Diceros bicornis minor: one gene and its partners. The protein of the gene in region 4 purifies or fractionates together with the protein of the main gene of each other region. This does not show direct contact. Links are inferred from orthologs where the notes say so. Each region holds a gene or a part of one and is shown on either strand. Other genes may lie near its edges. The genes, in order: EPC2, ACTL6A, ASH1L and MORF4L2.

Region 1 (6,965 bases), on a different chromosome or scaffold from region 4:
GGGTTCCCGGGTTCGGATCCCTGGCATGGACCTAGGCACCACTTATCAAGCCATGCTGTGGCGGCGTCCCATATTAAGTAGAGGAAGATGGGCATGGATGTTAGCCCAGGGTCAACCTTCCTCAGCAAAAAAAAAAAAAAAGAGGATTGGCAACAGATGTTAGCTTAGGGCTAATCTTCCTCAAAAAAAAAAAAAAAAACTTATAAAGGTAACTAGTTAGAACATGTTGATAATGGAAATTAAACTGAAATACAACTCTAGTGAAACACAAAATATTTCTGAAATTTATGATATTTTACTGCTGCTTAGAACTGTTTATCAAAGCAAAACATTTTTCTTTAAATGAGCAAATAATTCTGCTTAATAACAGAAGTTCTGTAATTATGACTGGGAGAATTGAATTGGCTGTCACTCACGAAAGCACAAGTCTTCTGACTTACATGTTAATTTAAAAAAGAAAAAGAAAAAACTAACACCCTAATTGGACATTCTGGGAAGCAAAAGACTTATAAATCTTAACTGTCAGGAATTCTTTAGTTTTGTTTTGATTTTAAGAACCTCCACTTGAACATTAAAGAGGCAGACAGGACAAAAAGTCAGAAGTCCTAGGTTTCAATTCTAGTTCTACCAGAATTTGGATTTCTTCCTAAAATTGAGCAGTTGAAGCAGGCTACTTAAAATAATCCAACTTTAGCACTCATGCTCTAGATTGAAAATCACAAGTTTTACTGAAAAAGTCAATAGTACAAAATTGTGATGACGTTAAGCATTTATTTTTAATACATCACTAAAAAAAACTAAACTGCAAATTTTCTTCCTAAATTCAGATAAAATATCAAGATCTACGTGACAAACTAAGGACCTAAAGCAATAATTAAGTATAGCTAATCATTGTTTGCAAAACCTAATACATCGTCCAGGGGCTAACTGTTCATTCTAGAACAAGTTTCTTGATTCAAATTCTTCCCAAAACAAAATAATAGGATCCAAGTAATTACATATATTATTGATACTTTAAGACTCATAAGCCACTTTTCTTTTGGGGTCGAAACCCAGAAAATAACTAACAGAAATTTAACATTTTGGAATCCAAACCGGTGGTTTTTAAAGTTTAATTCAATTAATTCTTGTACATACTACAACTTTCTTAATTATCTTTCCCATGGAAAAATGAGCTAAGTTAGAAATAATTTTTACTTAAAAAACAAAAAGAATTCTCAGGAAGTACTTATCTCTAAACCTTAAGGATAAACGTCGAGTTTTCATCTTATTTATTTAAAAAAAGTTGAACGTTGAATATTCATTCTGATACTACCGCCATATTCATTTTCTACTGAAAGTGCAAAACATTCAAGCAATCAAACACTAAAGAGAAATGTGATTAAATCACAGCAAAGATTAGTAATAACAGGGTAATACAATGAGGTCAGAACTCGAGCAGCCAATCAGAGGCATAAAAGCATTTCCTGCAATATTAACAGTTAAAAGAGAAAACCAATCACAGAAACCTCGAGCTTTCTTTTGACAGTCACAGAAGCAAGAGAACCAATCCACGCACACCCGGGGTTGACAATAAGGCGGGACCGCAGGTTCATTGAAGAAATTCTGGAGGGTGCAGTTACTATGAACTTCGCACGCAAGTAACACCACTCCAGAGTCATAAACACTGTCATGCCAGATGAAATCCAACCGTATGCAAAATTCAACCAATCAGGGAGGAAAAAAGCAACATTTTTGCCAAAAAGCGCTGTACTATTAAAAATGCAACTGTCAATTTACATGCACTAGATCTTCAACTTCTAAAAGACCCCCCCCTCCGATGACAATCACCGGAGACGCGGCACGGGGATAGCGCAGCGCCGGCAGCTCGTTGCTGAGCATCCCCGCTTCCTTCCTAACGCTGCGCACTGAGCTGGCGCATCCCGGTGAGGCAGGCAGGCAGAGCCGTCCCGCTCGGGGCCGCGGAGCCGGCCGGTCAGCAGCTCTCTAACGCTACATGCCGCTGGACAGTCGCGGCCCCCGCCTCCCCCGCCGCAGTGCTGCACCGCCTCTCCCCGCTGCACCACCGCGGGCCAGGGAGCGAGGATTACCTTGCTAGGAGAAAGATGACGGGTGTTTTGAAAGCGCTTTACTTTCCATAAGTCATTTCAAAGAGAACCCAGTGCAAAACTAAATTTTAAGTGAGGGGGAAAAAAAAATCTTCCCTAATCAAAAGATCCCTCGCCCATTAATCAACCCCGCGCCGAATGAGGGGGGAAAAAAAAAGGTAAACAGAGGCCATACGCCAAGTGCGGCCAGAACATCCCCTGCGCCATTCCCGGCCGCCGCTTACGGCAAGGCCCCCTTACGGCAGCGTAAGCAGCGCTGCGAGCTAATCACAACACTGGGACGCAACAACATGGCGGCCGCGGGCGGGCGCTGCGCCGGCCGAGAGGGTTTACGCTACTCCGCCGGCGTAGAGTCCCATGCGTTGGAGCGGCAGCGGCGCCCTCCAGCGAGCGTAAAGCGCTCTGTGAATGGCGAGGCCCGACTGACAAAAGGGAGGGGGGAGGAGGGAAGGGGGGGTAATAAACACTCGAGTCCCTACCGATTCCTCCTCCTTCTCCATCCCGGTGGGCATCTGGGGCACGGCCCGGTTGATGGAGACGCAGTCGTTGAGATCAGGCATGTCCTTGCCGCGGTAGATAGGCAGCGGTTTGGCGGCGTCCAGCGCCCGCGCTCGGAAGGAGAGTTTACTCATTGTCTCCCCGCCTTACAGGAACAGCCCGGGCGGCGGCGGCGGGGCGGGCGGGGAGGGGGGGAGGACTCCCGCCGCCTCCTCCACCTCCTTCCTCAGTGCAGCGCGGCCGGCCCGCTCCTCCTCCTCCTCCTCACTGCCCCCGGCCACAGCATGGGCGCCCACCCCGCCCGAAAACAGCCCCCCGCCGCCCGCGGCCGCTTCCACACACTAGATCCGCCGCTCGCCCGCCCGATCCGCTCCCTGCGCCATGGCCAACATGGCGGACATTACCACAGCGGCGGCGAGCGATCCCGGCAGCCCGCGCGAGAGCGCGCCCCCGCCGCGGGGACGCGCCTCGCCCTCGCCCTCCCTCCCTCCCTCCTTCCTCTCCCTTCCCCTCCCTCGCCTGCCCACCCACTCTCTCCGCGGCGCGGCCGGCCCGCGGGAGCGTGCTCAGCCTCCGGCCGCTCTGGGGCACAAGGGGGCGGCGGCCGCGGCGGCTTTCCGCTCGCCGGCCGGCGCTCTCGCCGTGTGGCAGGTGCCAGGTGCGCAAGTTAACCCGCGCCCCCGAGCGTGCGCCTCTGTCTCCGCGGCCGCGACAGCCCTCTCGCTGGGCGCCCGGGAGGAAGGCGCCGAGCAGCGCGTGTGTGCAGAAGTGTGTGAGCGGGAAAGGGAGACGTCAACCAGGGCCACAGTAGCCGCCACCGAGCCTGCACTTATAAAGCGCTTATCTCCAAGGCGCCGCGAGCGCCGGCTAATTCGCATCCTCCAATTTGCGCGTCCCCGGGACGTGCGGAAGGTCCATGCCGTCTGCCCACTCAGAGGGGCGCAGACCTGCCGCGTCTCGCCCGCCCCGAAAACGCGCACTCAGAGCCAGCCCTCTTTCCCGCACCCCCTCTTCACTACCTAACCGAAAGAGCTCTCCAAGGTAAGGCATCCTCGCCTTCGCGGGGAGGATGCTAATGGCAGCAGTGAGGGTTCATGTTTGAGGCTGCCAGACGCAACAAGTGCCCTTGAACCTGTCCCCCAAACTTCATAGAGTTATTTAGTGGATGGTGGATACTGACTTCAAAAATATTAGCCTTCCTAAGAGTTAAACTTATAAAATTTAACCAAGGCAGCACACATTTCCAAAGTGGCAGATGTGCGTAAAACATTGAGTGCCGTGGAAGACTCAAAGAAGTTTGAGATCAAGTTCCTGCCTTCATGGAGCGTTCACCTTATTGGGATGACAGGACGGTTGGAAAGATGGATAGTAGTAAGAGATGTAAATAGTTGAAGAACAAGGCAACTGGAAAGATAAATGATAGCAGAAGTAAGTACTTGAAGAAAACTATACAAGAAAGATGACACAGGCACTAGAACATGATTAATTACCAAATGAGTTGTACTGGCAATAATTGCCAGGAAAGTTCAGAGAAAGGAGGCGTTACTTTAGCCTGAGCTGGTTAGAGAAAGTTCTAAAGAGAAGGGAAAATCAAGTTGACTCAAATAAGTACCAGGTATTGTTGACATCAACCTCATTTAACCAAGTTTCTTGGTTAGTCTTTAAGCATTACAGTTTTCCTACAAAATCCCTGGAAGAGTGTAACTCATGTTACCATTTCTAATAATTGATTAATGTTCTGCCTAGCTCTGAGAAAAGTAGATGGTTTCTGAAGTCCAGAAGTCAAAAAAATTGATTCCTGCAGTCATTTCTGTATGACATCAAAACTCTCTTCCTCCATTACCTCCTCTTTCTCATCCACGTCTTCCCTTCTCCCTTTTTCCTCCTCTTCCTCCTCCCTTTTCTCTCCACCTCCCGCTTTGAAGGCAAAATGATGAATATGGACTTCATGGCAGTGTCTAAATAGTCTAACTGTTTGGCCCAGCAAGACTTCCAGCATTGTTTAGCCGGGCTTGAGTGTTTTCCATCCACTTTGTTGTTGGAAACAATGGAGATGCTGTGACTCACTTCTTGTAAGCAATACCTTCCTCAAGCTTATAGGCATGTCCTGCTCTGAGCGATACCCTCTGGAGCAGTTCCAGTTCTCTGCAAGGGAGAACAAGACGTTGTTGGGAAGGGGTCAGCACTGGATTCAAGCCTGAAAGGGAGGAGGTGTGGGGAAGCGATGTTTGAAGAAATGAGTCATCCAGGGCTTTTATTTGAGTGCCCAGCACTTCTCAGGCTCAGAAGGGATAGCTTTCTTCTATTCCCTGTATTTATTGTTACTCTGTCTCAAGAAAGGAAGTATTGAATATTGAAAATATACCAGTCTCTATAGTGGTACTTTATATATATTATCTCAATTAATTGCAGTCCACTTAATTCTCATTATAACCCTATGAGGAAATATTATAATTTTACTAATAAGGAAACTAAGGCTCAGATAATTTGCCAAGTTTCAACACTAATAACTCACAGAACTGGGTTCAAATCCAGGTCTAGCCTGACTCCAAAACTCTTGTTTTCTCCACATTGCCAAGCTGCTGTCCAAGCTCTTCGGTTTATTGACCATTCAACATTCTAAAGTTGCTGATCCAAATTACTGAGACTTTTTAACCAATAGCCAATAGAGTGCATAACCCAGAGCCTAGAGATGCGATAGCCTCAAGGAGGGCAGGAACTACATCTGCTCCCTTATTCACTGTATCCCTAGTTCTGTGCCTCACACATAGCAGGCACCTAATATATATCTGTTGACTGATATTCCCTAGAGAAATTCAGTGACACTGACCCCATTCCACTCCAGCTTGGAGTTCACCTACCTTATTGGCCTGTCACCTGACCTAGCCATTGCTGCCCATACTCGCTCTTATCATGGCCTACATTTCTCTCCAGCTTCCTACCTTTGGGCATAGGAATTTTAGAACCAATTAAAGCAATTCAAAGAAATTTTTTTGAAACCTGAAATTCTATTAGAGGAACAGGTTTTAACTGGAGTAGTTGTTGTTTTGTTGTTCTTTTTCTTTGACCATGTAACAGATTTCTTCCCCAAATCTCCACTTTCCTCTTGCCCTGTAGGTAATGATTATAGCTGGGAATAAAACAGTTTGAGGCAAATAACACAATACGCTTTTTAAGTGAGACACAGCCTGTGTTTTCTTGGCTTCCGATTCAGTGCCCAAACCAGAATGCCTCTGTTTCACATTTGGAAAGTAGCTTTTATTTGTATACAAATATTATTTTTCATAAAGTTTATTTCTAATCTATTTGTTGAATACCCATATACTTGTTTGTGCTAAAAACAGAAAATATCTTTTTAACTTTTGAAGTAGATCCTGTTATAAAATATCTTTATCAAAACCTGTTTCAAATGATTGTGCAGCCTAATAGCCTATTTTAATTTCCACATACAATGCACTGAGTACAGTCATTCCCAAATCTGTCCACTTCAAATATGCTCTGGACCAATTCCAAATGACATGCATTTAGCCAAGCAAGTGTAGTGTAACAACACCCAAGAATTAAAAATAGTTTTAAAGCCATATCAAAAATAAAACCACTGTCTACATGTAGTCTAAATTAGAATAAAGATCAAGTAAGTGTAAGAATTGGGATTATATTCCAGTTTCCATTTCCCCATATTACAGTCAGGGCAGGCAGCTTCCAAATAATAAATTACTTTTTGAAAGGAAATTTAATACTAGTAAACACAGTTGTTATTCAGTTATTTCAGAGTTTTGTAAATGTCACATTCTTTCTAATTGGCTCCCTATTTCGGCAAACCCAATTGAAAGTTAATTGGGTTGGTATGTGGACTGCATCCCCACCCCTCCCCCTTATGTTCCCAGGAATGAGCCCAGTACCAATAAAGCTTCATTGTTTTCCATATGTAATCTGAATGTGGGGTCTGCTTTCATTACAATCAACTGGAATCAGCCCCCTGGTTCCAGTGCCCTTTACTGAGGCAACTCTGAATCTTTGAGACATAGGGAGGGAGACTGCACTCAGTGGTGACATGCCAAACATCTACTTCCACCTTTATATTTACCGTAGTGGGAAAACCAGACGCTAAATAAAAATTTGTGGCTATGGCTCGGTCTCTTAGCAGCATCGCTCCTCTCAGACCTGGTTGGAATCACAGGGTGCCACCTTGTGTATAAGCTGACGATTTACTTCCCAGTTCCACAAAGGATCCAGATAGGCTCAAAAATAATCAGCCCGAAAACTCTGTATTTTATTAACCAAGGAAAAAATGAGACAGATGTAATTGAAGGAAACAGATTTGCAAACACACAGCTCCAGAGGGTCCACGACACTCAA
Region 2 (7,198 bases), on a different chromosome or scaffold from region 4:
GAACAGAGATTTTTAAAGGGATAACAATATAACAGTAAAGACTTACAAAATCCACAGAGCATCTAGCACTTCATCTTCTTTCCGTTTTTGTCTTTTCAGGATTACTTTGTTAATACTATAACAAACTCATTGGCATGTTATAAAGGTACCAGCTATGACCAAATATAATTTCATTTGCTTCTTTGTATATCTAGGTCATATTACTTAAAATGGTTAGCAGATCTCTTACAATTCTAATGGAAAACAGATGTATGAATCTGAGTGATCATATTTCTATTGGTGAAAAACTCCAGACTCCAGGTCTTTATCCTTTATCTCAGGAGTGCTTGCATGACTGTTATATTTTTGGAATGTCAGTACACAAAGGATAGTACTTGCAGTGACTCTTTACACACACACATCCACACAAAAATGTTTACATTGAAATTTGTTTTTCATAATTACTAATGTCATATTTTTTTGCAGCATGAAATAGAGTGATTCTAAATGTACACAAATTTTTGTGTCATTCTTCTTAATGATAATCCCCTGAATGTTTCCCAGCTGGCATTAATAACAGTTGCAATGTTTTTTCAACTCTGAACTTGATGAAGGCCAAGACAGAGGACAAGATCAGTAACATTTTGTAATGACTGCTGTGTTTCCACAATCTGAACAGAGCTGGTGAAAAGAGGAGGGGGCAGCATTACATGCATTCTAGTGCAGCGTTACAAGAATGGAAGACCAGCGACCCCGTGAGGCGAAACTAAGTGTTGCACTGCGTATACAGAGGAAATTCTTGATGCTGGAAGATTACAAAGGATTTCTGAAAGGGCACTTATTTTTATAGATCTGGATTCTGAGTCAACCACTGAGCATCTACTGGGGGCTAGATAGGTTTACATACATGTTACTTCAATATCTTTTATTTTTAGGTTGACAAACGGAATATGCTGGCTCCGGGAGGAAAGTAGCAAGCATTGATTGTTTTGGTATGTTATGCCCTTGAGAATTGACGCAGAGGCAGTAACCTTGAGTTGTTGTTGTTTTTAAATATGACTAGCTATCAGTAGCATTAATGTAGGCTTTACATTAATGAGCCAATAATGAGCCAAGACTTGGGAGAAAACATGTTAGGTTACAGAGGAGGAATATTAATACAAAAAAAACCACCCCTCAGATATTTTATATTTTATAAAGTAGATTCTGCTGGGTCAGTATTTTTCTTTTAAAATATTTTCTAGCATTTTTCCTAACTCTGAAGAATGGAAGAAAACAAGGTGCCATAGTATACGTCTTGCCTCAAAGGAAACATCACTGAGGATGCCAGTCCCCGACATTGTTCTCTTAGGATGCTGAATACGTTTCCTTTCTCAACAGTGTCTTCCTCCAGCAATTCAATACTTTAGGGTCAATAATCTTAGCGCCCTATTACATCTTTTGCTGATTAACATTTATGAGAGGTTTAAGTGTGCACTTTTATCTGCATTAACATGTGATTAGTCCTGACATATCAGATGTACTCTGAAGTTCATTTCATTTGAAGTTCATTTCAATGGTTTGTTATTAAATAAAGTAATGTGTTCAATAACACATCAAGAGAACAGCTGACCTGAAATTATGATTGAATGAATGATCTGTTTTCTAATATCTTTCCAAATTATCAAATGAAGCAAAACCCTTCCTTTAAGCAAAAATATTGAAGCCTGACTTTCCAGTCTTTTCTCAAGCTGTCTTCTTTGTGCTGTCAGACTGAAGATTCTCGGCACTCCAGTGTGTTCTCTGTGGGAGGAGTCAGTCGCAGCATCTCAAGCCTTCCTGAAGGCTAGGCGTGTGGTCCTCATTAACCCCACTGAACTGTTTTGTTTTCTGATGAACTCTGAACTAGTGGGACAAATGTTTTACTCTTTTTCAATCCAAATATATCTTATTTCTCCATGCACAGGAGATTTTGGAGATAGTACTGATGAGAGATATTAATACATATAATCTAAGTTGCTATATATGAATTACTATGCATTTAAATGGTAAATTGGTTTAAATGGATTACTGTGTATTATAAACACAAATAGTATCTCTTCAATATTTAATTATTACCAAAGTATCACATATTTTAGAACTCATCAGCTTTATTAGTCAAACACAACAAAAAAACATGGAGTGGAAGGGCCGGCCCTGTGGCCTAGTGGTTAAGTTTGGTGCACTCCACTTTGGCAGCCCAGGTTCAGTTTCCGGGTGTGGACCTAACACCACTTGTCAGTGGCCATGCTGTGGCAGCAACCCACATACAAAATAGAGGAAGACTGGCACAGATGTTAGGTCAGGGTGAATCTTCCTCAGCAAAAAGAGAAAAACCAAAAACATGAAGTGGAAATAGAAATATTTTGGGGGTTTGATATGTGCCTACAGTGAGAGCTATAATCATGGGGGCAACAGTTAACACAGAGCACTTGGTGCACTGTGCTGGACGTGTTATATGCATTATCTCAGGGTGGGTAATCGCTTTCTATAAGGGGTCCAATAGAAAATATGTTCTTCAACTTAGTGTGCCACATGGTCTCTGTCATAACTACTCAACTCTGCCCTTACAGAGCAACAGCAGCCATAAATGAATAAGCTTGGCTGTGTTCCAAGAAAACTTAGTTTATGGTCACTGAAATGTGAATTTCATATAATTTTCACATGTCACAAAATATTATCCTTAAAAACATTCTTAAAAACCATTTAGGGCCAGCCCCCGTGGCTTAGCAGTTAAGTACATGAGCTCTGCTGCTGGCGGCCCCGGTTTGGATCCTGGGCGTGCACCAACACACCGCTTGTCCCGCCACGCTGAGGCTGCAGCCCACATACAGCAACCAGAAGGATGTGTAGCTATGACATACAACTATGTACTGGGGCTTTGGGGGAAAAAAATAAATAAATAAAAATTATAAAAAAAAAAAACATTTAAAAATGGAATAACCATTCTTAGCTCCCAGGCCATAAAAAAACGGAAAGCAGGTTGGATTTGGCCCTGAGGCCATAGTTTGCTGACCTTTGCATTATGTCACTGGGTTAATGGGGATTTCCTAAATGATCAGATATACTGAGATTATATTATTAAATGAATGGAGGTTTTCTCACTAGCCTTGTTGCCCACCTTACTATCACTTTCTACTAGCTGCTGGCACCACGATGAATCCGGCTTTATTCAACTGTTCCTAGATTAAGATTAAGAGGAGCCTATACGGTATGTTTAGACTCTAGACAAACCATTTAAGAACTGCTATCAACAACAAGGATATACAACCAATCTTAAGGATTTGAGTTGGAGTGACATGACCAGATTTGGGTGTTTTTATAGATCAAGCTGCTGCCTGCCGCTGGCCAAGAGGCAAAGGGACAAGCCATTGTAGTCATCTAGCAGAGAGACACCGGTGATCTGGACTGGGCTGGGAGAAACGGGGAACTAAGAACAGTAGACAGACTGGGGATGTATTTAGGATTGGGTACTCGCTTGGATGATTGATTACACTGTTTTATGCCTGTCTCACAGGCTAAAATAAATTGATCACACCTTTAAAAATAATTTTTAAAGTGCTACCTAAATTTAGTTGGGATAGCGTATCATCCTTTTCTTCTTTTAATTATTAATAACCATTTTAAAAATTACAAGATCCTATCGGTTTGTCTGATTTACCGATTCCTCTTACCCCAAAATGGAGCATAACATTTCAGTTTCTTCAATACAAAAGTTAGTTGAAAACACTTTCTCTGAAAAAAAAAAATTCTGCATTCACCGCAATCCAAAACCAGGAATCACTGCGTGGAGACACTCTCTCTCAATTTCCTGACTCCGTTTTGCAGAGGTTCACCTTCGTCCACCAGATCCCCACTGGATTCCCATCTCTCCTCCTCGCCTCAGCCTTACCCTTGGGTCCGCCCCCGTCACTTCCCTCCCTCCTCCTCCCTCTCCCGCTCCCTCCACCCCACTCTCCCACCCACCTGGGAAGCTCCGCCCCCCTCCAGTTCCGCAACTCAACTCCTTTTCTCCTTCCGTCGCTTTCCCCTCTCCCCGCCCCCATGGCTGCCTTCGATTGGGTAAACTGGCTGTGCCGCGACAGGGATGCAGCACAGCCTCGTTCTGATTGGCTGAAGCGTAGCCGGTCCTCTAGTGATTGGCTGATAAGCGGAGACAGCAAGTGTGACTGCGCTCTGGGGCGTGTGGACGCTGCTTTGTTGCCGGAGCAGGGTAGCGGTGGAAGTTAAGGGGGTCGGGGGCTAGCGCTTCTCGGGGCCCACAGTCGCGGCCGTTGCAGTCACTTCGCCCGGTAGCCTGTAGCGTAGGAGTCGCGCCGAGAGCAGCCATGAGCGGCGGCGTGTACGGGGGAGGTGAGTGTGCGGCCGGACGAGAGAGCGCGCCTTTTTAACGTGTAGGGTTTGTAACCGCCGCCCCCAGCCCTCCCCTCCCCGGCGGCCCCTTCCGGTCTCCCCCTTTCGGGACCCCGGCCTCCCCGCCCCATCCCCGCCCCGCGCTCCGCCCGGCCCCGGAGCCCACCCGGCTCAGCGAGCGCCTCGGGCGCCCGGAGTCGCCGCCCCCTGCGGCTCCTTCCAGCCTCGCCCCCCGGAGGAGCAGGGGTTCGGGGGTGCGCGCCGCCTCGGGGCTGTGTTGGCAGCTCCATCCAGGGGGCCGGCCCGCTGAGCCCCGGCTTGAGTGACCGGCCCCAGGTCGCGTCTCTCCCAGTGTCTCCATCACTCGGCTGTCGGGGCGCGTGCGCGCGCGTTTAAACTTGGGAGGTCCCAGCACTTAGCAAGCGCGGACGGAGCGTTTCCGCGCCGTCCCGTAGACGGTAAAGCGAGCGCGGGAGGTGGAACTGGTCGGAGGAGCGGCGGCCACTGAGGACGCAGCCTTTTGTCCGTCCGCCCCCGGCTTCACACCTTCCAGTAACTTCTGCCTGTCTGTTGAGTGTGGCTTCTCCAGAGTTACTCGGGGGCGGGTTTGTTCGGATTAATTTAGGAACGCAAGTAATTTAAGGATGCTTTCCTTGGATAGGCAGTGGTGTGATAGACAGATTACTACGGGCCTGGGAGTTACACAGACGTGGTTGTAATACCAGCCTCCCCGTTTGTTTAGCGCTTTGGCCTCGGGCAAAGGCCAAGTTAAGTTACTTAACTTTTCCCAACTTGAGGCTCCTTATTTTTGGAATGATGGTTCCTACCCAGTGGGGTGGTTGCGAAGGTTAAGTGAGATGATGTTGGTCCATGGATCAACGGTGTCAGCATCACCTGCAAGCTTTTCGGAGATGCAGCATCTCAAGCCCATCTCGAAATCTACTGAATCAGAGCCTCCGGTTTTGCGAGATACCTAGATGAAGCACCGATGTATTTGATTCGTGTTTTGTGTTGTGTTTGATGAGTTACAGAACAAGGAGACAAATCCAAAGTGTTGCTTTTGTTATTGTGTCTAGTAAGGATACTGTTTCGGAAGAGGATGGCATTTTATAGGTAGGAGATAAAAATAAAGTTTTCAAAGTTGTTAGTAGTCTTTAGAGTGTAGCTTGAGTCTCTTCTGAGGTGAGATGCTGACGCTCACCCCCTCCTTCGCGTTAGTGTTCTTGGGTTTGATTTCTCAAATGTGAGAGTCAGTAGTTTCCCATTTTTACTTTGGAGAAAGCCTAGTGGATCTCCATGATTTCCCTCTTCCCCATCTGAGATGCAGTCCTGACAGAAAAACTGGATCTACGTGCCTTTGCCTCATGGGGGCCGTGGGCTCTACTGACCTGCAGGTTCCCTGATCCAAGCACCTAGAGGCTGTCTATTGAGTATTTCCTTACAAGGCCTTGTTTAATATGACTGAGGTAGAAATGGGTACGAATAATGCCAGCAGCTAACGTTTATTGATTGCATGCTGTGTACCAAGAACTGTTCCAGAGGCTTTTCATGGAATTTATTTAAAACATACATTAATTCAGTTAATCCACAACAACCGCAGGAGATGGTACTACTATTCCCATATTATTGAAGAAGAAAACGAGGTATAGAAAAGATCAAGTAACCAGTCCAAAGTTATATAACTTTCTAGTAAGTGGGGAGTAAGAATCTCTGGGAAGATGAAAAGGCATTTCAGTAAAACTGTTTCCCATTTAAAAAAAAAAGGTTTTTGGTTTCTCCATAGGTCATTTTTCAAGCTTTTAAATAGATTATAAAAGAAACCAATTATAATAAAATATAGTTCTATGCTTGGACTCCTTGGGGAGGCCAGAGACCCCGCTCCTAGTTTACCCTTTCTTAGGTAATCTGCTCCGCTCCTACAGCCCCAACTTCTATCTAAATATTAGTAATTCCAATCTCAAATCTCTCTCTCAAGCCCTCACCTTTGTCTAGAGCCATATCTCGGACTTCTTATGTACATCAACATCAGTTCCACCTGAAGTCCCATGGGTACCTCAAATTCGACATATCTGAAGCACTGTCTTCTTCTCCCTGTCCTGCCCAACCTGATCTCAGCAGGGCTTATTACAGTGAGTGTCCCCAGTCATCAGAGGCACAAACCTGAGAATCGTGAATGCCTTCATGTTTCATACCCTTCATCAAGTTCTGCCAAATATTTCTGCTAAATATTTCTTTTTTTTAAGTTTTTTTTCCCAGTTTTATTTATTTATTTTTTATTTTTTTGTGAGGAAGATCAGCCCTGAGCTAACATCCATGCTAATCCTCTTTTTGCTGAGGAAGACCAGCTCTGAGCTAACATCTATTGCCACTCCCCCTCCCCCCCCCCCCCCACAAAGCCCCAGTGGATAGTTGTATGTCATAGCTGCACATCCTTCTAGTTGCTGTATGTGGGACGCGGCCTCAGCATGGCTAGACAAGCGGTGCGTCGGTGCGCACCCGGGATCCGAACCCGGGCCGCCAGTAGTGGAGCGTGCGCACTTAACCACCAAGCCACGGGGCCAGCCCTCTGCTAAATATTTCTGAAATTCCTTCCTCTTAAACACCATTGCCACTGCCTTGATTCAGACTCTTAACAGGGAACTACTACAGTTCCCTACAGGTATTGTGCTTCTGTCTCTTCACCTTCTCAATCCACCTTTCAAACTGCTGCACTGTGATCTTTCAAAATTGTAACTGAACATTAAAATTGTAACTCTGAACATTTTGGTACATAAATCCTTCAATGAAAAGAAAGAGGAGAATCATTCAGTGGTTTCTCATCATCCACAAGATAAAATTCAAATCATTC
Region 3 (6,890 bases), on a different chromosome or scaffold from region 4:
GGACCATGCTTCCCTCCTCCTTGCCCTTTTGAAAGCCCCTGCCATCATACAATTCATAGCTTCAATAGGATTAAAAGCCTATTATTTTATTACTCATATTTGTGTCCCCTGCATAGAATTAACTCAATAATGTTTGTTATAAATAAGATAAATTCCACGAAATGAGCTTCAAAACACCTCAGTCCCAATGCAAAACTGGATAGAGATGAGTTTGAGAATAAAAACACAATGAGAAAGAATAAAGCTATAAACACTTGTGCTATATTCTCTTATCACCTAATTCAGAAGCATGTTCTAACACTACAGAAATAAGTTTGCAAAGAATAAAGAATAAAACAAAAAGAATAAAAAACATGGATCTTAAAATTCTCCTTACTGTCAGCATGCTCAAACACTGTCACAGAATCTTGGATCTTAAACTCATATCAACATGTCCACTCCCAAAGTATATATATATAAATATATATATAAATATATATAAGTATATACATATATATATATAAATATATATAAATATATACATATATATATATATAAAAAGGCTTTCAAATGAGACCTGAATATAAATTGGTTCTACTTCATTACAGTTTAAGTTCCTGAAATTGTATGCACCATTTGTGTGACTGTGCTTATGCTCATTTTGTACAGTGAGGGTCTTTCATCAGATTCTCAGAAGGACAAGTGACTCCAAAAAACTTTAAGAACCACTAATCTAGCATATCAAAAACATTCCATTTTCCAGAGAGACACAGTTAAGTTGGTTTAGTTCAAATATTCTTCCTTCATATTCATAGAGGGGATCCTTACTACAAAATTAAGTCTTTCGAAGAATTCCTTCAGCTCTGCCAAAAAGTTCCAATATCTACAGACACATATATCAACAATTCCCAGATCCCAAAAACTGTTTACTCATAAATGCCAAAAGATAATGCAAAAGAAGGCACACATTATCACAAACTGGCCATCCTGTTGGATTCTTAAATACACTTGTATCCTTCCACATTAAAATGTCTGGAAGATCTAAATTCCCTCCAAACTGAAAAGACTTTTTAGGAAGGTTTTCTAGTTTCAATTTCCCACTGACTTGTCTGCTTTGCCTGACTTAATACATATACCACTGTCAAGACAAGTCCCCTCATATGCATCCAGGCTGTTTCAACAGGGTCACCTTGATTACTCTCACCCCAAGGCAGGAACAGTATATAACGAGTAGTTATTCAACAAATATTTGTTGAACGAATGAAAGAAGATCCTTCTTCCCATACATTTAAAGTTAAGCTGTCAGGCCCCAGGTAGCTGCTCTAGTACAAGTTAAACTACAGAAGACATCCCTTCCTCAAACACACAAACTCAAGTGTCAGAAATGCTCTGCTTCCTTCATAAACAAAAAATAATCAAGGATAACCATTTCACACAGGCCAACCTGGAAAGGACAACCTACATTCCACATACATGTCTGACATAACTGATCTCTACCAAATACAATCCAACCAGTCATATAAGCCCTTACCTTTCCAATAAACTCAGATTTGCCTGACAAAGACCTCCTGAGGCATCATGGTATAGTGAATACACTGCTGGACTAGTAGTCAAAATACTGGAGTTATAGTCCCAACTTTGTAACCAATTTAACATGCCACCTTCGAAAAATTATCTCTTTATGCCTCAATTTCGTATTGTGTAAAATGGGAGAAAACATCTATTCTACCATTTCACAGATATTTAGAATCACAAAGAGATTTAGAATTTAAAGATTTAAAATCTGAAAAATATAACAGCGTTATTCTATTATAAAGCGTTAATATAAACTCAGGTCAACAAAAAGGCCATCCATTCTTTATACCCTCATAGTAACTATTCTGTTAAAGATATTCTAGACCTTCACATTTACACAATTCACTCTGTTCAGAGGAACAAACTACTCTTAAGACCACAAGCAGTTTAAGTTTCTCCCACAAATATATGCTATATTGTCTAAAATACTGCTGTGACTTCTCTTTCCCAACAGGTAACAAGGCGCTCCCAATACCTAAAATACACACACACATCAGCCAGCAGGGAATATCCCAAGTTTTATTTCAAAAATAAGCTAACTTATAAGGGGAACTCCATTACACTTACACAAACACAAGCAAACTCTTCCGGAACACTTTCCTTCCTTGCATACACACACAAACACAGCCGCCATACACCAGCAGACCATCTGTCTTCCAGACCAAAAACATGTCTTTCCATGTACAAAGTAACCAGTAACATTTATTAAACTTATAACACTGAAATCATTCTGTCTTTCCTACATACAGTTCAGCATGTCAGGGACGACACACACCTGATCATACAGGTAAACTACTCTCGAAAGATCAGCCCTCCTGCCAGTCTTATTCCTTAAACAGCCACAGACTGGACTACGGGGGATGCTCCAATCGTGTCTACACAACACACAAACTAACCTGTCAGGGGCACAGCCGACTCCGCCTCCACTCGCTTACTTTCCTGCCCCCTCCCCCAAGCCAGGAGCCCGCCTGTCAGGGACACCCCTTCACCCCCGCCAGGAGGGACTTCCCGGTAAGCTCAGGATCCCCTTCCCTTCTCTCCCCTCCCCCATCCTTACCACCGCTCTCCCGGAGGTCCAGGTCCGGGAGATGACAGTAGCTCCCAAGAAGCCAAGGATTGAGTCGCGGAGGGAGTACTTAGGCCCAAAGGCCTCCCCAAGCGGTTCTACTCACCGTGTCAGAGGCCGAGGCCGAGAAAGATGAGAGTGCAGGGAAGTGGGGAAGAGGGGGCGGCCGCCACTAGGCTCCTCCGCTTCCCTTGGTCCACAGTGGATCCCTCCCGCTTGTCAGGAGGCGGCCAGCGGGTGAGCGGACTGGCGGAAATGCGAGAGAGGAGAAGGGAAAGGCGTGGGGCCAAGCAAGGGAAACTGAGGGGAGGCGGGTCCCGCAACCCAGACGGGGATCGTCTCCCCCTCCGCAAAGCGAACCCAAAATGGCGGCGGGAGCGGCGGCGGCAGAGCGGCGGCGGCGGCAGCTCCTCGGGAGGGAGGGAGCGAGCGAAGGGCGCCTCGTGCCCCCCCCCACCTCCCACTCCTCCCTCCTCGCGTTCTTCCCCTCCGTCCTCCCCCCTCACCCGACTCGGGCGGCGAAACGCGCACGCCCGCCCGCACGCGCCGGAGTGTATCTGGGCTCGTCGCTCGCCGCTCCCACCAACCACCGCCTCCGGCCGCCTTGCGCGCCAGCCAGCCCGTACGCGCTCGCTCAGGGGCGCCTCCTCGCACGGTCCCCCACTTCCCCTCGGCCCCTGTCAAGCCGGCTCTGGCACGGGCCCTCACGCGTACCTTCAGCGGCGCGAGCCCAAGCCTCCTCCTCCACCTCCTCGTCTTTCCTCCCCCCCTTCCCCGCCCCCACGGCCACCAACCGCCGCCACGGCCGCCGCCGCCGCCTCCTCCTCCGGCCCCCCCCACATACCCTCCACCCCTCGCGCGTGCGCCTCCCACAATCCCCCCGCGGGACTGTTCCATTCCTGTCGGCTGCAGGAGCGGGGGAGGAAAAGGTAGGCAAAAGCAGGCAGAGCTTGCCGCTAAGACTGGAATTATCTGAGTGGCGGACAGAGACCCATGGCTACTCACCTCCCGGGCCGGGGCGCCGCGGCTCGCCTCCCCCCTCCTCCTCACGGCCGCGGCGAGTGGGTCGGGGGCGGCCTAGCCCCCCTCCGCTGGCCGGCGGTTGGAGGCCGCGGCGGCTGCGCGTTGAGTAGCTTCCTGCCGTTCGACCCGAGCTTGCTTCTTTGCTGCGGGACGAGCACTACGGAGCAGCTTTTGATAGTATCTGCTGTTCGCCGCGTCGGGAGAATTGGTCCGCGACTCTCGGTGAGGGAATAGACCGGCGCGGGGGTTGTACCCATGAGGGAAAGGAGCGGGACTCCGCACCTCCGTGAGGTAGGGAGTGAGGCCAGGAGGACCGGCGACCGTCCTAGGGGGCTTTTTTCCGGGTTCTATGTTGCAGACTTGGGACCCAAAGAAGAACCGGCGCCGTGGTCGGCTTTCTTTTTTTTTCTTTTTTTAGCTCAGCTTAGATTTCTCGCATTTCGCACAACTGTCTATACGCGATGGTGTTTCTGTGCACTTTTACTTTTTCCTCCTGCATGGCTACTACATTTTCAATCTCATTAGGCAGCCTGATGTTAGAGGATAAGGAATCACGTATTTCCAGTTGAGTTTTGGACTGAATCGCCCGTGTCTTATGTGTCCTTCGGAAAGTTATTTTTCTTAATTCCTTATCAAGAAGAAACGAAAAACTAGACATAAAAATTAGTTAACTCCAAATCTGCCTTTGGAATTGGTGTGTGAAATAATATATGTAAAGTAGAATTAGCTCCTAGGCACAGGGAAAGTGCAGAGTATTATGTTATTGTTCTGTTGATGTTGATAAGGTTTGTGGGTGTAATTGGTAGTTTGTGTCCTATTCTAACCAAGTCGTTAATAAAACAAAGCAAAACTAGGCCTATCAGATTTCTGTGGTTACTAATACTTGTTTCTCAGAATCCTGCACGAACGTTTACTTGATGATGGAATTCAGGAGAACTATGGACTATTAAAATCCACAGATAATCCCGAAGTTTATCTAATCTACTAGTTTTTAGTTTCACCTAACCAGTAAAGCAGAAAAAATTAGGGAGGGGATTTACTTGGGTGTCCCTTTTCTTCACATCTGTGAATTTCAGGGGATCCAGGGAATAGTTTGAAAATCATTGTGCTAGATTAAATCTCAAAGGTCTAGTCAAGCTCTGAAGTTCAAGTAGACACTCCTGAATTTCCCCCGTACCATATTTCAATATATGGACCAGGCTTTGTTTGCTTGCTTTGTTTTTTTAAGGTAAAGAGGAATTCAGCCTTAATTACCTCACTATATATTTGCTTTTCCTAACTGTGTCTTAAGTGCCAAGTCTTTCATGGAGCCCATTGAAGTTTTACATTAATCTTTAATTGTGTCATGTATGCAAGTGTGTTACTCTACCAACCACGTTTTTAATTTGAGAGCAAGGACTATGTCTAACATTTTTTCTATAGTCTAGTGCAAAGCAAGTTAGGAAAATGTTGAAATGAATGTTAGATACTTAAAATATGAGAAGAGAAGGAGAATTAACATTTGTGGAATACCATGCCAGAAGAACATGTGTTTGTTTTTAATCCTTATAATAAACAACACTTTGAGATGGATCATCTTATTCACATTTTACAGATGAGAAGCCTGAGGCTCAGAGAAGTCCAGTAATTTTATCTTTAGACTTTAGTTTGCCTGTCTCTTAAAAACCTAACTTTTTTCACTATACCACATTGCCTTCGTGTAAAATTTCTCATCAGTAACATAATTGTGTACACTACAAAGAAAAAACACTTCTAATGGAATTCCGCTACACCAGTATATAAAGAAAGTTACATACTTAGGGTCTCTGCCTTCAACTAGCATTCAGTAACTCCACTGATTCATGAATTGTCGGCTAAGTATAGGCAAATAGGATAGTATTCTGTTCTTTTGCATATGCCCCAGTGCCTACTAGCAACTAAAATATATTAAGTGCTCAATAAAATGACCATATTGAATGAGTGAACACTGAATTATTTGAACCAAGGAAGGCTTGGAAGACAGACTAATGGTTCCCCCAAGATGTCCATGTCCTAATTCCTAGAACCTGTGAATATGTTATGTTACATAGCAAGAGGGAATTAAGGATGCAGGTGGCATTAAGGTTGCTAATCAGCTAACCTTAAAATAGGGAGATTATCCTGGATTATCTGATAGGCCCACTGGAATTACAAGAGTTTTGAAAAGATGGAAGAGGAAGACAGAAGAGTCTGTCAGAGTGATGCAATATGACAAAGACTTGACTGGCTCTTGCAGGCTTTGAAGATGAAAGGGCAGCCTCTAAAAACTGGAAAAGTCAATAAAGCAGATTCTCTACTAGAGCCTCCAGAAATAATACAACCCTGCAAGACACTTTGATTTTGCACTTCTAAACACAGAACCCTAAGATGACAAATTTGTGTTGTTTTATGCCACTAAGGTTGTGGTAATTTGTCACAGCAGCAATAGGAAACTAATACAGAAAGAGTCAAATCATTATTAACCTCCAAAGTACTCTGCCTTGGATTGTGGTCTGTGCTTTAATGTAAATGAGGGTATGGGTTAACTGAAACTTTTCTTTAAGCAAAGTGATAGGCACTCAACAAAACTGCCTAGATTTCCAGTATTTCCCTACTGTTCTGCTTCTCCTGGCATCAGTTTCCAAGCTGTAAATACACTGCTGGGCTCTGGGATATTGCTGTACAGCAGCAGTCTTAGCTAAGCTGCCCTCAGACTTCCTCACTGGAATAGAAGTAATTAAACATTTATTTCATGGTGCTTCCTTGCTGGGATGTTATCTAAATACAATATAGATAAACAGGAGAAGCTCTTCAATATAAACTTTTAAAATAAGGTTTCAAATGTTAAAAGAAATTTTTGAAGATAAAACTTACTAGAATATCATCAGGATTGACTTTACATTTGACAAGTTATGGGTAAATGCTGTATAAGCATAATAATCTAAATAATTTTCTATGTAACAAGGGAAGAACTCTGAAATTTTTGTTTGGGCACCAAGATTTTAAACTTATGCTTCAGGTTATTGCCTTCTATCAAAGTAGAAATGTACACTTCAGACTGCCTGGGTTCAAGGCCTAGCTCTGCTCCTTGGTAGCTGTGTAAACTGGAGAAACTTAGGTGTAGTAATAAACTGATAACTTATAAATCATTTAATCCTTGTAACAATTCTATATTTAGATGCTGCCGTTATCTCCATTTTAGAAATGAAGAAACAGAGACAAAGTTTAAGTAATTTGCTCAAGGTTACAC
Region 4 (7,736 bases):
ACTGTTATTAAAGAAAAACACTCACTGTTATTAAAGAAATACCATTTTGCTTAGACTTGAAATATCAGGGTTTTTTTTTTCACTTTTAAATTAGCCAAACATTCTTTTAAAAAATCATTCAATAAGCTAGTCAGAATCAAATGAAAAAAATATCAAATTAACCTTAGAATGAACCAATTTCATCTACCACGCAGAAGCCATGAGAGGACACTGGTGTCTCTCTCCACCCTCCAGAATAGACTGGCCACTACCTACCAGACCTAGGAAGACTCTTAGCCACGAGGTAAAACAAGCAAGGCCAGCAAATACTGTTGGGCAAGGCAGGTTGCACCCTGCACAAGGGTATCCCATTGAGAGGGAACAAGTGGAAGCTAAAATTCATTCTTCAGCTGCCCTGCGAAGGCTTCAACATCCTTGAGAAAGAAAAGTATTTTTCTCATTTTCCACTGAAGTGAACACTTCTCTGCAATTTTTCTGCCCCCAGGTAGCATGTTTCTAATTAGCACAAAGGTATTGTATGAGCAAATAATGGCCTTGAAAATTAACATGGAGATCTTGGTGTTCTGTGAAGGCTGGGACCATAAATAGTCTCTGTCTGGCCTTGAGCCTTTAAGCCAAACAAACATTGACCTAAACTATCTTTCTCTTCCAGTTGAAATCGATTACGAAGACAATGGTTCAACTGTAAATCCGAGATGGAGAAGAGTAACTTGTATGTTCTGAGAACCCACTAAGAGTCAGGAATCTGCTGAAGCTTTCTCCCACTAGTAAGTGGAAGGGGCAAGAGAGTATTCACATTTGAGAGGGTAGCATGGCATAATGGGAAAAAACAGGGCTTTGGAGTCAGAGAGAAGTCTGAATCTTTGCTCTGCCATTTACTCACTGGCAAGTTGGCGTGAGTACTTAACTTCTCTGGACTTCAGTGAGGATTCACTAAGATAAAAGATGTAAAGTGCTGAGCATGGTGCTGCCTGGCACATAGAAGGCATTCAGTTACTATGTCTTTTTCTGCTACTCTCCTAATCCAAAGTTAATTCACATTATTCACACCGTTGGCCCTGAGACTTCACCCAGTAGAGCATAAGGATGGGTTTACTTGACAGAATATTGGAGCAAGAGTCAGGAGATGTGGGTCCCAATGCCAGACACATACCCTGTTATAGTATGTTGGGTAAGTTACTACCCTTTCCTGACCCCATCAATAAAACAGGAGAACACCTCTAGCTCTGATGCTGAAAGAGCAGAGAAAATCACTTCTCTTGGGCACCTGCTATGAAATATACACTATGCTATGCCCTTTTACATACCTTATATACTCTAAATCAGCACTGTCCACTGGAACTTACTGTGATGGTGAGAATGTTCTGTATCTGTTGGTATCTAATATGATACTAATACTAGCTGTAAGTAGCTATTGAGCCCTTGAAATGTGGTTAGTGCAACTGAGGAACTGAATTTTTAATTTTACTTAATTTAAATAGCAATATGTGTCTAGTGGCTACCATATTAGATAGTGCAGCTCTAAGATTATGAAGCAGGAATAATTGCTCCCATTTAATATATGGTGAAACTAAGGCTCAGAAAAGTTAAAGAACTTGTTGAAAGTCACATTAATAGTAACTAAACCAGATTCAAAACCTAGCAGTAGATAGTTTAGCAGGATAGTAGGGTTGGATATACCAGGAATTACCCAGGCTCCGCTACTTACAACATACATGACAAAAGAAAAATAATTATAGTCTCTAGAACTCACTTTCACCGTGTATAAAATGATGATAAGCATCACCTAATTTACAGACCTATTCTTGGGATTAATGGGTAGAGAGCTATATAGAGTATGTGGCCCATAATAGGCTTTCAGCAACTGTGTTTCCTCACCCCCCTGATTCCTTCCTCACACATAGGAGAGGTTCAGACATAAAGTCAAAAAGATAACTGCAGAGTGGAGAGCATTTGGGAAACATAAAAGCAAGAAGGGAAACACTTATGAACTTTTATGTGATATCTTATTATAGAATGGAGATTAGGAAGGGCACAAAATCATCAAAATATTTCCATTCATTTGGTTTGCTTTCCTGCCTTCTTCTTGACGCTGTAGTCAACATTAGCCAAAGCAGGAAACAAGGTATCTGTAATGTAGTCTGAGGCCCAGAAAGACAAGCTATTATGGCTGAACAACAGAGTATTGTCAAGGGCTTGGGCTCCAGAGGCAGGTAAAGTTCAAATCCTGGTTCCCATACTTTTTGTATGCACTGGGAAAACAATTTGACACCTTTACACATTAGTTTTTAATCTGTAAAAGGGGACTGATAATATGTAGGGTGTCTCAATAAAAAAAAATAATTTTGCTTTACATTCTGTAGCACCCTCTAGTGGAGTGTACAAAAATAAGCATCATATTTCCACCCTCCAAAGCAGTGGTTTTAACTTCAGTGCGCATTGGAATCACCAACACAGTTTGTTATAACACAGATAGCCAAACTCTACTCCTAGAATTTCTGATTCACTAGGTTTGAGGTGAGGCCTGAGAATCTAAATTTCTGACAACTTTTCAAAAGATAATAATGGTGTTAATGGTGTGTCTGGGAAACACACTTTGAGAACTCCTCTAAATTCTACCCCCCTCCCCTGTGTATGTGTGCACACACACACTCATGTATATGATTGATAACTGAAAGAGGTATAATTTTTGTTTTTTGATTTTGATATATTAGTACTCCTAATAAGGATTTTGTGAGGAATAAAAGAATACCCATGTGAAGGATATCACACATCTAAAATATAGAAAGCATGCAAAAAACTAAGAATCACAAAACATAAATCCAGGGTCTCAGAGCTAGTAAGTGGTGGAATGGGGTTTAAAATTAGGTCTCTGACTCCAGAGACATAATAAAGTTTAGCAATACCACTATAGAAAATAGGGTGCGAACACGCATACCTAATTAAAATTTCAAGAGGAAAAGATCAGTTTTCAATATCAGGGTCCAAGTTCTTATGTGTCTTTACTGACTAAACAGCTACCTATATTTTCCATTGGGGGAGATGGTGAGCATTTGAAAAGGTGCACAGAAAGGGTTACAATCTTCATCAGCAGCAGTGTCTGGGGTAATTAATGAATTCTGACCCCCCAAAAAAGGCAAGGAAGGAAGAAAAGAGGGATGGAGGGGGGATTTTTTTTTTTAAAGAAGAAAATAAGGAAAAACATTTGATTCTCTGCCCATACGCCTCTGCCTGGTAGGGGTATTTCGAGAAGTTAATTTCATTTTTCCCTAGCAAAGATAGATATACATGATCCCTATGGATTGTTTGAAGAGTCCAGCAAATCAGAAAGAGGGGGGGACAAAATCCCATAATTCCAGGGACCAAACAGCCAATCCTTTGCTGGGATTTGGCGGCATCTAGTGGCAGACTCAAAAGGTATAAACCTCACCCAGAGAACTTTCTGGAAAATTAACTGAGTGCGTACTTGCCTGAAGGGCACTGTGCTTGGAGCTAAGGACAAAAAGGTAAGAGAGCTTCAGCCCCCACAGAAATTCGGAGTGTCTAGTATAGGGGAAGGCTGTCGTATATAGATATTCTCAGCATAAAATTATATTTGTGCCAGGAGAATTGCACGCAACTTGGGGGGGGGGGTTCCAGGCAACAGGAAAGAAGCGGCTCTTTGGAATTGCTAATATGGGAATGGGAGGGTTTGGCTCTTAACCACTGGAGGGCAATGGTTTAAAACAGGATTTTGGCACGGAGAAAAACGTGGGAAGAAAGTGTATTTTTAGGGTCTAAAATTAAATCGCTAGGGGAGACCTAAATATTTCTAGCAAAGGCCCTTTATTTCTGTTACGGTCGCCTTGACTTTATTTTCCTTTTCATTAGAACAATTTTCAAACATATGCAAAAGTATAGAGCCATCTATATAGAGCGCGCGCACACGTACGCACTGAGGCACGCATACCCTAGCTGCCGGACACACGCCGGGCCCAACGTTAGAGGCGCACGCCTGCGCACACCCACCACCTGCAGCGCCACGAGGACTGGCGCGCGCACACACTCCAACCGCAAGGCCATGCAAGCTCGCCCGCGCACCTATACACTAGCCCCCACACCACGCGGCCGCAGCACCCACCACCCCGACTCATACACATGTCAAAACCCCCATTCTTCCTTTTTTTTCCTCCAAGAGTTGCGCGAGGCTCGGGGGCGTGGCCCCACGTTTGACCTCGCGCTTCCCCACTCGCGGGAACCTTAGCTCATTTCCGCCCATCCCGTTTCCGCAGGCCACGTAGACACTTCCTTTCCCAGTGGGGAAAAAAAAAAACCCATAATGCCTCCGTGCAGGAAAAAAAAAATAAAAAAAAAAATAAACCTCTGGTCAAAGCGGAACTCTGGGTCGTGAAAATAGGCCACGTGAACACCCTGCCCTATAGACTTATGACCCAACGACTGTCGCGCTTTTGGAGGGCGGGCTCAGAACCTAAGGGGGCGAACGTCATTGGCCAGAGCCCGCACTAAAGGAGGAAGATGATTGGCTTGCCCTAAGCCTTAACCGTGAAGAAGCAGGTTGCTAGCGCCTGCCTTTACTGCGGCGGAGTGTCATTGCTGACGTGGTGGGCCTCGTCCAATCATTTGATAATGGAACATTCTAAAACTTAGACGAGACGATTGTTATTGGCTGAAGGGCATAAGCCCGCCTCCAGGGTGACGTGTCTGCCTATGGATATCAGTTGCCAGAGAAACCTGGCTTTACTATGGCGGTTGGAGGGACGGCAGTGATCACACGTCGGCTGCTGGAAAGAACTGGATTCTCGTTTCAGGTTTCGGGGTGGGGGTGGGGAGAAAGGGTTGACGATTTCCTCTTATCGTCGTGTATATAGACAAGGTTAACTAATGGCTTCACAATCGAGCAGAGCTGGATTCAAATTCCTACTCGCCAACGCCCAGCTTAGGCTGGCTCCTGTTCTTTCTGTGTCTCGGTTTCCATGTTTGTAAAATGGTGACAATAATAGTATCTACCTCAGAGACCTGTGTCTCAGAGGCGTGTACTGTATATGCGTGTATATAAGGCACTTAATACGAAGCCTGGCTCCGAAAGATATTAACCATGATTGTGGAGAGAAAAACCCGCGTAACAGAATGAGGAAAAACATAAATTATGTGAATTCGTTCATTATAGTGCTTTTCCTGCCCATCAACTTCTTCTTTAGAAGAAATTAGAGATATAAGAGAGACATATAAATCTTTACTCATGAAATAATTTGCTAATTGGGAATTACCTCAAATAGCGAGGATTGGAATTTTCCATATTGAAAAGTTTAAAAAAAGGAGGAGGGGGAGAAAGAGATGGAGAACGAGAGCGAGCTGGAGATGAACCACATGCAATAAGTAGGCCTTGTTTGGATCCTTATTCGAGCACACCAGCTGTGGGAAAAAAAAAACTGCTTAGGATGCGTCGGGGAAATTTGAAGACGGATTCGATATTTGATGTTTTTTTAAGGAATTGATGTCGATTTTTTAGACGTTATAATGATATTGTGGTTATGTTTTCAAATAGTCTTTATCTTGTAGAAATATGTATGAAAATATTTACGGATTAAGTCATAAAATATCTGGAATTGGTTTCAAAATACGTTGATGACTAGAATTTGCTTCAAAATAATCTCAGCGGTAGGGGGAAGTGGGGAGGGGTATAGATGGAACAAAATTGGCCCTAAGTTAGTAATCGTTTAAGCTGAGTGATGGGCATGTGGGGTTCCTTATATTCTGTTTTTATTGGTATGTGTTTGAAATTTTCCATAATAAAATACAGAAAGTCAGCTATTCAGTGAACTTAAAAAAAATCGGAGTTGGGGGGAGCGGTGGGTGGGGTTATAGATGAAACAAAATGGCCTTCAGTTGGTAATTGTTGAAGCTGGATGATAAATTTGGGTAGGTTTGTAATATTCCCTTTACATTTCTATCCATTTGAAGTTATTCTCAATAAAAAGTAAAAAAAAGGCAAAAACAAATTACTTTGTCAAAAATCAGGATGAATGTACGAAAAATTTGAAAATATAACCCCAAGAAAGGAAAAAGAAACACTTGTACATTATTTATCAGCTCTGTTGTCCTTTGTGTGTGATAAAATGTATTGACTGATAGAAGAGAAAACCATCATCTCATGTCTTTTTATTTTATGTCCTGTCCTGTCCCCTTGTTTGACCTTCTAGGCTATCATCAGAAAAGCTAAGTTTGCTATATAGTAGGGATCAGAAGATCTGATCCTGATTGCAGAACCGTCCCTGATTACAGAAACTTGGGTAAGTGCCTCCCTTCTGGCCTCAGTTCTCAAACAAGATAATTTCACACAACATTCCTAACTATCCAGAAATATTTTGAAGATAAATAAGCGCCTATCCGGGAAAGCACTCTAAATTCTAAGGGGAGGATGGAGCTAAGTCCATTGGTGCTTCCAGTATAGAAAGCGCCTGAACAACAGAGGGTTGTGTAATTTTTAATTCCTTGATAAAAGATACTGCAATTGATCCCCTATAGTTAGTTACATACATTCATATAGTGTTTTTCTCACTTTGTGGCATCTCACATGCAGCATAATTTAGTGGTTAAGAGCAAATGCTGACTTACCGAATTTAAATCCTGGCTCTGCCACTTCTTATGTGATCCTGGGCAAGATGCTTACACACTTTGTCCCTGAATTTCCTGGTATATAAAATAAAGATAATAATAGTTCCTACTTCATAGGATTGTTAAGGGGATTATATGTAAAGTACCAGGACAGTGCTTGGCACTGTGTTTGCTTTAATAATAATTATGGCTCTATTAGTCTTTCTGGTACATCCTGTTTTACACACACATGCACACTTACACTTCTAAAAGCAGTGGATACTTCTTTTTGGAATTGTAAAAAAATAATAATACTTTTGGTTTCTCTCCTGATTTTCCAGAAGCAGCAGTTACCACTAGAACTGAATTCTGAAATTATGACTTCTGGCTTGTCCTAACAATCTAGAAAGATTTTGAGTATATTGATCATATTTATTTATAAGGGAATTTCCAGGAGCTATAATTTTAACTAGCAAATAATAACCATATTCAGTCTGCTAACAGCTTTTATATCATTCCTTCTTTGTCTCGGACTCAAAAATGTCTGTTAAACATAAAGGAAGTGTTCCAAGATCGAAAAGAGAGAGAATTGATGTAAATGTAACTAACAGGGTGTATGTGCATTTAAAGGTTTATTCCAACAAACTGTAGATGTTGTTCACACTCATTTGTAACACCCATACACAAAGGTGTTAGCATTTGGAGTCTGCATTCCTGAATGGTCCATCACTTGCATGAGGAGATGAAGGAATGTTTTCACTCTCTTGACAGCTTCATTTTCCCATGGAGTCACTATATTTTTCTTATTTTTCTCCCTTCTGAAAGCTAGGTTGCAGAGGAGGGCACTGCCCTGGTGGAAAAGATGCAGTAGATGGGTAGGCACAAAATCCCTTTACAGGAGACCATTTGGAGAATGATTTAAGGGCTAAAGGAAGGGAGGTGGACTGTTGGGCCAATAGGAGCTCAGAGAAGGCAAAGGCCAGGGTAGCCTGAAATGGAGAAAGCCTCAAGGAGGAAAAGAACCTTGACCTGAGCCTCTGAGGATGGGCAGAACCTAGAAGGAGGGAAACCAGTCCGAATGGTATGCCTACAAAGGATACGATACACAGTGATAATTAACTGAACTGTCCAGCTATGTGTGA

What was found.
Region 1: the proteins of MORF4L2 (region 4) and EPC2 purify together in Homo sapiens (affinity purification with mass spectrometry; 5 studies listed by BioGRID and IntAct, counting the BioPlex papers as one, with this or other methods). This does not show direct contact. The link is inferred for Diceros bicornis minor from reciprocal best matches to the Homo sapiens genes MORF4L2 and EPC2.
Region 2: the proteins of MORF4L2 (region 4) and ACTL6A purify together in Homo sapiens (affinity purification with mass spectrometry; 5 studies listed by BioGRID and IntAct, with this or other methods). This does not show direct contact. The link is inferred for Diceros bicornis minor from reciprocal best matches to the Homo sapiens genes MORF4L2 and ACTL6A.
Region 3: the proteins of MORF4L2 (region 4) and ASH1L purify together in Homo sapiens (affinity purification with mass spectrometry; 5 studies listed by BioGRID and IntAct, counting the BioPlex papers as one, with this or other methods). This does not show direct contact. The link is inferred for Diceros bicornis minor from reciprocal best matches to the Homo sapiens genes MORF4L2 and ASH1L.

The regions. Positions count from the first base shown.
Region 1 is NC_080749.1:32,913,010-32,919,974, reverse strand, and holds the start of EPC2 (enhancer of polycomb homolog 2), read right to left. Parts: upstream 3,009-6,965; 5' UTR 2,741-3,008; coding exon 2,588-2,740; intron 1-2,587. UniProt on the Homo sapiens protein: May play a role in transcription or DNA repair.
Region 2 is NC_080754.1:43,459,543-43,466,740, reverse strand, and holds the start of ACTL6A (actin-like protein 6A), read left to right. Parts: upstream 1-4,192; 5' UTR 4,193-4,325; coding exon 4,326-4,350; intron 4,351-7,198.
Region 3 is NC_080743.1:59,406,806-59,413,695, forward strand, and holds the start of ASH1L (histone-lysine N-methyltransferase ASH1L), read right to left. Parts: upstream 3,020-6,890; 5' UTR 2,858-3,019; coding exon of another isoform or gene 2,753-2,857; 5' UTR 2,727-2,752; intron 1-2,726. Other genes in the region: DAP3 (small ribosomal subunit protein mS29), read left to right, coding at 3,614-3,865. UniProt on the Homo sapiens protein: Histone methyltransferase specifically trimethylating 'Lys-36' of histone H3 forming H3K36me3. Also monomethylates 'Lys-9' of histone H3 (H3K9me1) in vitro. The physiological significance of the H3K9me1 activity is unclear.
Region 4 is NC_080781.1:96,707,496-96,715,231, reverse strand, and holds the start of MORF4L2 (mortality factor 4-like protein 2), read left to right. Parts: upstream 1-4,715; 5' UTR 4,716-4,808; intron 4,809-6,200; 5' UTR 6,201-6,290; intron 6,291-7,736. UniProt on the Homo sapiens protein: Component of the NuA4 histone acetyltransferase complex which is involved in transcriptional activation of select genes principally by acetylation of nucleosomal histone H4 and H2A.